Linked DNA regions of Caenorhabditis elegans. The protein of the gene in region 1 interacts with the protein of each later gene in a pairwise test. Each region holds a gene or a part of one and is shown in the gene's direction. Other genes may lie near its edges.

Region 1 (6,066 bases):
AATTGTTTTGCTCAATTTCGTGGAACTCGGATAAATTACCAAAATATACTCCGGAAAAATTGAAAAAGTGCGATAAACTTGATAATTTTTGCTTTCAAAAATAGAATTTTAAAGAAATTTACTGGAAATAGACAAAAAATGTGGAAATTTTAAATTTTAAGCTAAAAAAATTGGTGAAAATCTTAATAAATTGCCTGGAAATGCGCTTGAAAATCGAATTTTTGAGCTGAAATTTGAGAAAATCTATAAAAATTTTAAAAACTTTAAATTACAATTTTTCAGCTGAAAATAGCCCTAAATTATGAAAATGGGTGAAAATCCTTATAAATTGGCTGAAAATCAGGAATTTGCTCAAAATTGTGAGAAAAATTGCGGAAAATCCATATATTACTGACAGCTGAAAATATTTTTAAATAAAGGGAAATTTTTAATTTTTTTTGCTCAATTTTGTGGAACTCGGATATATTATGACAATATACTCCGGAAAATGGAATTTCAAAGCCGAAAAATTGAAAAAATCACCAAAAACAGCTTGAAATTGTTAGAAACTTGATAATTTTCGCTATCAAAAATGGAATTTTAAAGAAATTGACTAGAAATAGCCAAAAAATTTGGAAATTTTGAATTTTTTTCATGGAATTTCTACACAATTTCTTGAAAAATGTAATTCAACGGATTTTTTGCAATTTTTTATGTTAAATTCAAGTTTTTCGCTGCTTTTCAACTCAAATTTTCCTGTTTTTCGATGATTTTTTTTTTGTCGATTTTAATTTTTTTGCACATAAAACCGAACCATTTCGAACAGCATTCCTCAATGCCGGAAGAGTATTCTGAAGGAATGGTAAAAGATGCGGTTGAGCCTGAGATTTGAGCACTTGTTGCAGATTTCGTGTAAACTCTTCAGCCGTCGTTTCCAGATAAATTACGCCCTGAAATATCCGAATTTGTCCGGTTTTTATCGCGTTTTTCGCTCAATTCCTCACTCGAATTAGCTCTTTGACACGGGCGGCCTTGTCCGGCATTTCTGGATCATCGTTATTCGACAGATTAATTAAAGTTTTCAGAAAGCGGACGCATTTTGTCACGTTTTTGTCATCTGAAGCAGCGGCGGCCGCCGCTGCAGAGTTTTGTGGAGTCCCGGGCGGCCCTTGTGGAGCCATTGGCGATGGTGACTGAAAATGCTGCATCTGCTGTTGTATAGGTTGACGAGGCGGCTGCATTTGATGGTTTTGAGCCTCTGAAAATTGGGATTCAAATTTTTTTTCTAACTTTTTTAAATTTTTAAATATTTACGGGGTGCTTCCACGGGTTCCGGAGCCATTTGATGAGCATCTTGGTAGTCGACTTCCTGCTTTATTTGCGGAGGGGCCTGGAATCAAAGGAATAAATTATTGTTAGTTCTTTTTGTTGTTGTAGAAATTTTGAAATAAAAAAAAACAATTACCGGCTCTGGTGTGCTGACTCCTGGCGTTGATCGCTCGCCGATCGCCTTTCCCTGAACGAGTCGAAATCTGGGAAGACTCATGTGTGCTGAAAATGATATTTCTCTCTCAGAAATGTGACAAGGTTTTGAGTTTTCGTGTCGATAATTTCGACGCCATAAAAGAAGAGTTCATACAAAATCGATAATTCCCAGGGTTCAACAGTGTGTTTCCTTGCTATTCCTCCCCACTTTCTTTTGTTTTATTCACATTTTCACATTAAATAGCTAAATTTCCGCAAAATTAGCGGAAAACCCCCTCCGCAACACAGTTTCATTTGAAAATTTACCGGAAAATAGCGGAAAATGGTCGCCTTTTATACTGCCAAGAGTGACCGTACTTTCGGTCGTGGCGAGACCCATGCCGCATGTTTGGAGGGGTGCGTTGCGGCTCGCGTCGCGGTCGCCCGCATTTTCAACTGCGGGAATTTGCGAGATTTGAACGCGATTCTAGTCTAGCTTGCGGTGATTTTTCAATTTTTTAATGATTTTTCAGCGTAAGAACTTTTGAGTTTAGTGGAAATATTGATTTTTGTGATATCACACTCTGAAATACCCAAATTTTCAGTCAATGTATTGTTACATTTCGAAATTTTTATTCAATCTAGTAACAAGCCTACACTTTATCATCGCTAAATAGGATTCTCCATTGTATAGCAGTTCATTCGAATTCCATTTCAAAATTATTGTAAAATGTAGGGGTTTTCTTCTCTAGAATATCCTCCAAAGTTCAACGTGATGTATTGCTGAAATATTTCTTCATCCTAACATGTTCGTTAGAGTCTTCTGTGCGAGGCTTTTCTTTTGATAATGTTTTTTTGATCTGGAAGGTTCCATATTTCGTTCTTTTCCTACTTTTGTCATCTATTTGACCTTCCTTTCATTCAACCTTCCTTTGATAGTTGTATTCTCGTGATTCTCATTCCATTCTTGCGTTCACATGACTGACCCTTTTTATTTATAATTTGTTTTCAGAATGGGTATTAAAGGCGACAAAAAAGCTACCAGCGATCAAGCGCGACTTGCACGACTCACACTGGAAGGAAATTCCGGAAATGAGGAGGACATACAGTTTATGATCAAGACGGTAAGTCTCCAAGCTGGAAATGACGCTTTCCTGAAAATAGTGATCTTTGCATCACGCGAACGCTCGCCACACACCGACATGATGACGCACGTGACTTTGTTGTTTTGAACTTCTCTAGTGTCCGCTTTCAGTGTCAATAGGAATTTCGAATCGATAAGACGGGGCCAGATGGCAAATAAAAGGACAAAAGCAGGTGTCCGCGCTTGAGATGGTGCAGCGAGAGTAAGAGTACCCAGATGTCCTACTCATTTGGGCTAATTAAAGTGTTCGCGCATTCCCAAGAGGGGTTTTTTCACTGCTCATGTCTTTTTCATTTTCAGATTATCGAAACCACCGGATGTACACAAGCACAAGCTGAGATAGCGCTATTGGATACTGACAACAATCTTTACGGCGCAATCGATCACATTCTGGATGCTGGAGATAAACTTGACTCGTGGACTGAACAGAAAGGAGCCAAAAAGGAAAAGAAGAAGCCGGAAGAGGGCAGTTATAACAACAGAGGATTTGTAGCAAGAGGCAGAGGTTCGTGCTTGATTGAAATAGATCAAATATTGATATGTTTTTTTCAGGTGGAGGCACCGGTTTCGTCGATCGAGGAGGCCGCGGGCGATCCAATGGAGCTCCAAGAGAAAGCCGAGATAATAATCGGGATAACCGTGATAATAAGGAAGGAGCAGCACCACGCTCGACTCGAGGAGGATTTGAAAAACCGTATGTTGGACGAGGTGGAAGAGGTGGCGCCAGAGGTGGATATTCTCGAGCTGTTGCTCCATCATCAGCACTTGAGCCAGATGCGTTCACTGCTGATCTTGATGAGGTAAGAATTTTTTGAAGAAGGAAAATGACGAAACGTGTTTTTTTTTCAGAATCAGACTAAAGTGGATACCACAGTCACCGAAGTTCAACCACCAGTAGAGGAATCCGTCACCGCCACTGTTCCCACATCTTCTGCGCCGGCACCGATCTCATTTGCTGCAGTAGCAGCAGCTGCCCATCGCAAAGAAGCACTCCGAAAGCACCAGGCACAGAATCCTCAACCAGCAGCTCCGCCAAGGAGGAGTCTCTCCCCACAACCTCCACTTCCGTCAGTTGCACCAGTTAAAGAAGAGCCAGCAGCAGCGCCAGTATTTTTCGAGCCAGAAACTTCGCATCAGCCGGAGAAAGAAGATGGTTTCTTCCAAAAGTAAGTTGTTCTGTCCCTGTATTTAGATTATTAAAAATTTAATTTTCAGTGAATCATCAGTTTTGGCTGAGGAGCAGACGCCTAATGTGTCGACTCATCACGATGAAAATGTACAAAGCACCCCAGAACCAAATCAAGCATGGACCACTCAACTGAAGACGGATCTTGGAATAGGATTGAGTGAAGCACCAGGACTAGGATTATCTCCAATTCCAAGTGCAGCACCAGTCCAGATTATTCCTGATCCTGGAGTGGAATTTGTTGGCACAACTGCACCAACGAACATTCATGACTACTCATTTGGATTTGTTGAGGCTGCTCCAAGCCCACAGCTTCCTTCTACTGAATCCTCCGCTGCCTCGATCTCAAATGCCAGTGAAAATATATTTAACTCTTCTCGTATTATGCCGAAACAAGTTGAGGTGAGTTAAATTTGTTGCAAAGACGATTTATTCTAATTCTCGATTATTTTTCAGCCAGAAAGGACGTCAATTCCTAACGGCGATTACAACTTAAAATCGACTTCACCTCCATTGTCATATGGTCAATCTAACAGAGGATTGTCCTATGACACTTCGTCCGCTTCATATCAACCAACGGACAGGATGGCGCCGAACAAGTTCAACAATTCTGGACCACTTCCAACACAGCAATCTGCTCAGCAGCACCAGCCACAGCAGCAGCAGCAACAAGCCCCACAACAGCCAGTGCAGCAGCAGCAACAAACTCCACCAGCTCAATCACAACCGACTGGACATCCACAACAGCATCCACATATGATGTTCACTCAACAACTCCCATATGCACCATACATGAACAACTACATGAACATGTACAATCCAATGCCAGGAGTTCGAGATGAGCAATATACTGCTGCTCTTATGCAATACGGAATGGGAGTTGATCTTACAAGCTTGCTTCCAACTGCTCCTCTGTCACAGGCTGCTTCTGCGCAACAAGTGCAATCTGGTCAACAACGAGAGACTCATGGACTTATGGACTTCAATAAGTTCGGATCTCAAAGCTCTCGGGATCAGCAGCCACAGCAGGCGTCGAATGTTGGACCACCACCAGGGTTCCAGGCGACGAACTACATGCAGCAGCCAAACTTGTCGTCGTTGTTCATGCAGCAGTACTCACCTGCTCCACACCAGTTTACTCCATTCATGAACATGATGCCCAATGTTGGAAGCAGCGCTGGAGGTCGTCAACTCTACGGACAGGATGACGAGCGCAAGAGTTACGACAAGATGTCTGGATCGAAGCCGGCAGCTCAGCAGAATCAACATTCTCAATACCAACACAATGGTGGAAATCTTGGAAAATATGGCATGAATAAGCCGTACAACTGGAGTAACTAACCGGTTTTCGAAAGTTCTCAGTCAGCGACTTTGCTCCCCCTCCCTCTCCCCTCTAAATAATAAAATGATCTGTTTTATTTTCACATGTTCTTTATTTTCTACGGATTTCCAAATAAATGTACCTGATGTCTAGGTGTATCTATAAATATGCCTCCTCATCGGGCTTTCAGCGTAATGTCATGTGCACTTGTAATCGGGGCAACGTCCACACTGGGTAAAGCCGTCGTGAGAAGACTCGCGTTCACCGGCTACAAGGTCGCCGCCGCCGCAGACTGTCCGAATAGTGTGGGAAAGGTTGCAGAGGACAATATAAAGGTTTAGGCAGATTTTCAGAACTTGACAAAGAGAAATTCGGGAATAAATTCAGGTTGGAGGTGACGTCACAGCTTTCTCATTAGACGTGGCAAATGCCGAGCACAGGAAGGAGCTGATCACGAAAGTGGCTGAGAAGCTCGGCGGTCTGGACACTTTAATTATAGTTCCACCACAGAATGAGGTGCTCGGCGAGATTATTGAGACATCCGGCGAGGATTTTGATAAGGTTCGAGAGTGCTGAAATTTGAATTCCACGTGGAAAATTGACCTCGAAAAACCAATTTCAGCTTTTCGCCAACAATCTGACAACACCGTTCCGTCTTTCGCAAGCCGCTATGTCGACGCTCGCCAAATCTCAGTCAGTTTTTGGGTCTCGCCGCGAAAATTTCAGATATTATTTTTTGCTGGTAGAAATTCGAAAAATTCAAACTGTCTTGAAAGCCTATTTTACCGATAGAATCAAAATTATGTTTCTAGATTTTCGTGCCTGACTCATGCCTGCCTACCTAAACCACGAAAAAAGGGAAAAATAGGTAGATAGGCAAGTAGGCATGAAATCGTGCCTACCCTAGAGATCATGCAACTTGAAAAAATTGTAGTAAAACAAAAAAAGGATTTTCAAGAATGTTAATTTTTT
Region 2 (5,008 bases), on another chromosome or scaffold:
AATACAAGTTTGAATTATTTTTTAAAGACTTTCTGATCAGTTATATTAGTAAGAAGCAGAAAAGTAGAGCGAAATCGTGGAGAGTCCACTTGGAAACTTTAGCGCAGTATAGAAAAGTCAGTAACTATAGTCACGAACTTTTCTAATTCAAATTTAAATTGTCTATCATAGTGTATACATGAAATTATCAAAATATGCATATATTGCCATTTCTTCACTTTTTTGCTCCCAGGTTTCCTGTGCTTTAAAGATTTCCCACTTAAATTTATATTGAGAATTGTTCTTGTTCTTCGACTTTCATCTATGCAAAAAATGTTACCGATCAAAGTTTCTTCAAAATTATCACCACAAAAATATGCATTATCAGACCATTTCCCTTTTCCGCAAAAGTTCAAAAAAATTCACTTAAATAGGTTCGTATCATAATCATTGAAACAAATACAGTGATTTGTAGCCTCCTATTTATTTTTTTTATTCAATTCCTGAAATTTGCAGAAGTTTCCAACACTTTCATCACAATGTCTACAATTTCTGATAAATTATCAACGGATCAAAATTATTTTTCAATGCCAACAGCGCCTAAACCAACGAAGCTTTGTGGATATTTTGGTGTTCATAAAAGTTAGTTTGAGAAGTTTTTATTAATTAATTCGAGAGAAAGTGGGATTATTTTCTAGGTTCCCACACGCCTACCTATGCCTGCCTACTTTTTCATATCTTATGTACTTATTTTGTTCTCACAGTGTTAATTTACACAATTATCTTTATTTTATCATCTTATTTGATGAAAGTTAAATTAACAAATGAAAGAAACAACGTTTGCGTGTACAGAAGGCGCGCGAGGTGAAGGCAGGCAGGCATTATTTCTCTCTTTTTTATTTGATTTTTGACACATTAAAGCTTATCTCTTAATAATAGAAAAATTGAAAACAAAAATAACATGAGAATCATTATAAAATTGTTTACATTTTTGTTTTGTTTGTTTTACAAGTGTTATCAAACCTAAAAATACTGATCACAAAATAAATAACAAGGCTATTTTTTTCGATGGATTATTTATTTATAAAAAACAGGGTAACAAGAATGTTAAGGGAGTCGATGAAAAATTTATATTAAAAAATATGTTTTCAGTTGCAATATTTGGAATCAGTTTCAATGCAATTTTCTTATTTGCATTTTACGTTTATGGATTAATAAGATTGATTCAAAAAACACCGAAGAATTATGTTGAATTTATTGGTACAGTTAAATAAATTTAATCTGAATTATTTAGAAATATGGATTTTTCAGTAATCTGCTCCATACTTATCACCATGATCCTCACCTTCAGTTTAATGTTTATTATGGCAGTTTTCCGTGCGAGACCCAAATTTTTACTACCATATATGGTTTTGAATACGATTCTGTTTTTTGCATATGCTGGTGAGCGAAGTTTTTTTTTCGGTGTGGTTTTAATCAGTTTCGCAAATATTGAGAGATTGTGAACCGGACGACCAAATTTGACAGTTTTTAATTGGAAAAAGAGAGATTACAGGAGCGGTAATCGGATCGACAATCACAGTTCCTGATGAAATTAGAGAAGAGGTTAATGGACAAGATCGGAGTTATAAAATTGTTGATATTATTTTATTAAGGTGGGATTTTGAAAAAAAAAGGAAACCTAGGGTATACTATTTTATCAATTTCAGAGTTGCATTGCTGGTATTTGGTGCATTTGAAATATTCTTCATCTATTCGTATATTTGGACGTATATTGATGTTCGAAGGTTGTACCTTTTCAATCGAAGATGAACTTGAAGTTTCTAATTGATATTTTCAACCATTCATTTTTTTTAAAGATTCCTGATTTTTCACACGGGTTTGTCGCTATAATTTTTTGATTGTAAAAAATAAATATGTTTTTTTTTAACTTAAATTAGTGCATAAATTGTTTGATTATAATAACATATCAGTTCACTACAAGCAGTTATAGGCGTGAAAACTTTTGGCCTACAGTACTCCTAAAAGACGCACATCATTTTAAATCGCACACGTGAAAACAGTGCGACCGTAGTTTATGCCCCCGCGTAATATGAAGGAACCATTTTTCAGGCTTTTCTTGAGTATTCCTTGTTTCAAATATTACTTTTCGGCCGGAAATTCTGACATATTTATATTAAAAACTTTTTTTTAAACTTTTTTATTGTGCACCGGCGCCAAAATGTGATATTTTCTCATAAATGCCATTCGTATCTGTTTTGTTCGCACTCAAGTATTGTTTTATGTAACGTGTTTTTGTTTTTCAGTAGGATCATTTGATTTTCTTTTTCAGAACTTACAGCTCGCAACATCTTCCGGAAATCGAGTATCTCCGGTGTTGATTGTTAAGCATTCCCTGCACCCGATTACTTACACTATTCACATCCACTCAACTGCATCAATATGAACGTTAACGGTGAAAACAACGAGAAGATCGATGAGTGAGTTTAACAAAATTCAAATGAAAAAGTAATTTTATGTTATTAAAGGCATCATCTCGAGAGCTCCCTCGCTGGCGTTCCAACTTTGCCCGTTTCACCACTCGATCACGCTAAGGACTTGTCTCAAACTAATCCGAATGCCCAGATTGGAGATTTGGTTACTCAAACTGCTAACTTGATTGCTATCAAAAAGCAGTTGCTTGAAGATATTGCATTGTGCGTTGGCTAATTTCCTGAATATCTTCAATTTACTACATTTCAGCAACCAACATATTCAATCGATGCAAGTTCGCGCGATTCAGAGTTTTCCCCAGAACAACCAGGTTGCACCTCCATTTCAACAGTTTGATCCTAGACGCCGCGGATTAGCCCGAATGCAGAAACCAGAATCATACAAGACTGTGATCTGCCAAGCTTGGCTCGAATCTAAGACTTGTTCTTTCGCAGACAACTGCCGGTTTGCACATGGAGAGGAGGAACTTCGTCCAACATTGTAAGAATGAAGCAAACAAATTATGTTAATTCCAATTTTTAGCGTCGAGCCGCTGCAGAACAATAAGTATAAAACGAAACTCTGTGACAAATATACGACTACAGGACTCTGCCCATACGGGAAACGGTGCCTTTTCATTCATCCCGATCATGGACCAAACGCATACATTCGCGCTGATAAACTTCTTGAAGTCAGAAGAAAACATGTATTTTTGCTCACTGTAAACATTTTCAGGTTTCTCAACGCCATGCATTGGCTGACATTCGTGATCAAATGGAGCAGCACATCATGACTAATGGTCGCATTGCAGCTCCCCCGCTTTCTGCCATTCAGCATCCTTTAGAAATGTTTGCCAGGCCATCAACTCCAGATGAGCCAGCGGCTAAATTGCCACTAGGACCAACTCCTGTTAGTACTCGTGGTCCAAGATATGAGCTACCAACGAAGGAATTGCATGACGCGGAAGGTAAAAATTGGCAGCTAGTTGCAATTAATGACCTCTGTTTTAGGTGCGATGACCTATCCACCGTCTCGCTGGCCATTGGATCCATCGATGTTTGCTCTAGACGCTTGGAATATGGCACATCGGCCAGCTAGTCCACTCGATTCGATGGTTTTGGGTTCCGCTCCAAATGCTGGCTCGTTCGGAATGCTCGGAAAGCAAAATACTCCTGGAGGAGTTTCTGGATATTCATCTGCTGGATCCACGCCTTCTCAGGATCTCAGTTCTTCGTCACTCAATGCAGCATCCGCAGCTGCCGCTGCTGCATATTTCGCAAATTCTGCTGTTGCTCAATCTCTTCTGATGAAATCTGTCGCAACTGATCCAATGATGTCATGTAACGGACCATTCTCTCCAATGCCAGGATTCGATCAATTGGCCGAAAATATGACCAAGCATCTCAATTTGTGGTGAACAACTTCTCTACATTTGTCAAATTTTTAAACACTTTCAATATTCGTGTCCCCCATACTAACTAATAATGCGTGCATTTGTGAATATAATAAGTTTTAGTCGACGTGTTCTTGTCCCATAGAAACTTGGCCCAATCGTCAAAAGCGCCCATTCCCATTTTAAATTCTCGAAATTAATATCGAATCTTGTGATGTATATTGTAATTCATCGAATCATTGAATGTATTCCAATTTTCACCGCTCGAGTTCCCGATTGCCTTCTGTCTCACTAATCCCTTCCCCAATCTCAAAATAAATTGCACCTGCCACGGATCATAATTGTGATTCTTTTTTTCTATCTTTCTTTCTTCTCAATGGCTCCGATACTGCCCGTACGTATTTTTCTTTCGTTTCTTTGTTCATTTAAAATTTTTATCCGAAATTTCCTTCTTGATCCTCATTGCAGGATGTAGTAAATTTTTTTGATCGATTCAATTTTCAAATTTATTGAAAATCAGGTTATATGTTCCAACACGAAAACTATCTAAGTACGTACCATGAAAAAGCAAAATAATATTGCAATTCAAGTTAGCTTTGTTCTCAATATGAGAACATTACGGTTTTAAAGACTTTATATGCATGCATGTTAATTAGTTTTTTCCCAACCGTTTAACCGATAATAATACATTTATTTTTTTAAATTTTAAGCTTCGCGTTCTTGACTAGGTCATAAATTGTCGATATTTATAAAACTGTTAATTGTGGGTAAGCTTGATCAATCACTTGATTAAATCAAAAGTGTCTAGGCTCTATTCAAAATATGCGCCAGTCAACACTATTTGCGCATTTTCAGTGCGTTTGCGCTTATTCTGTTGAACACTTGCTTTACAAACTCGCCCTGCCTTTTGTTGTTCTACTAAACAAGCTCTCTTTGCCGTTAATCTTCAATTTTTTCAGTTAAAATATGAGCGAAGAGCCGGCTGCAAAGCGAATGAAAAATGCCGATGAGTTCCCAAATCTCCGATCCGAAGTAGCTGGTCCCGTGAAGGAAAAGCTAATCGAACTAGACGCCATTCAGCACCAACTAGATGTGATGAGTGAAAACGCTGCCGAAGAAGTTTTGAAAGTCGAGCAGATTTTCAATCAGAAACGTCTTCCGATT

Evidence for each region. The genes of interacting proteins can lie anywhere in the genome.
Region 2: the proteins of pqn-59 (region 1) and oma-1 interact in a two-hybrid assay, tested with the Caenorhabditis elegans proteins (one study listed by BioGRID).

Annotation. Positions count from the first base shown.
Region 1 is NC_003279.8:378,292-384,357, reverse strand, and holds pqn-59 (Prion-like (glutamine/asparagine-rich) domain bearing protein pqn-59), read left to right. Parts: upstream 1-2,455; 5' UTR 2,456-2,456; coding exon 2,457-2,567; intron 2,568-2,887; coding exon 2,888-3,092; intron 3,093-3,139; coding exon 3,140-3,387; intron 3,388-3,436; coding exon 3,437-3,753; intron 3,754-3,802; coding exon 3,803-4,175; intron 4,176-4,229; coding exon 4,230-5,114; 3' UTR 5,115-5,287; downstream 5,288-6,066. Other genes in the region: taf-4 (Transcription initiation factor TFIID subunit 4), read right to left, coding at 794-929, 984-1,237, 1,294-1,369, 1,445-1,525; R119.3 (DeHydrogenases, Short chain), read left to right, coding at 5,289-5,429, 5,482-5,655, 5,717-5,787. UniProt on the Caenorhabditis elegans protein: Antagonises the activities of multiple heterochronic microRNAs such as lin-4 and let-7 miRNAs. Modulates gene expression and cell fate specification during development. Plays a role in, but not strictly required for, the formation of stress granules.
Region 2 is NC_003282.8:8,886,665-8,891,672, forward strand, and holds oma-1 (CCCH-type zinc finger protein oma-1), read left to right. Parts: upstream 1-2,311; 5' UTR 2,312-2,421; coding exon 2,422-2,459; intron 2,460-2,507; coding exon 2,508-2,675; intron 2,676-2,721; coding exon 2,722-2,952; intron 2,953-2,994; coding exon 2,995-3,142; intron 3,143-3,186; coding exon 3,187-3,418; intron 3,419-3,461; coding exon 3,462-3,868; 3' UTR 3,869-4,335; downstream 4,336-5,008. Other genes in the region: C09G9.5 (MARVEL domain-containing protein), read left to right, coding at 496-621, 1,132-1,239, 1,291-1,422, 1,535-1,634, 1,689-1,791; spr-2 (Suppressor of presenilin-2), read left to right, coding at 4,811-5,008. UniProt on the Caenorhabditis elegans protein: Zinc-finger RNA-binding protein that binds to 5'-UA[AU]-3' motifs in the 3'-UTR of maternal mRNAs to suppress translation in oocytes and embryos.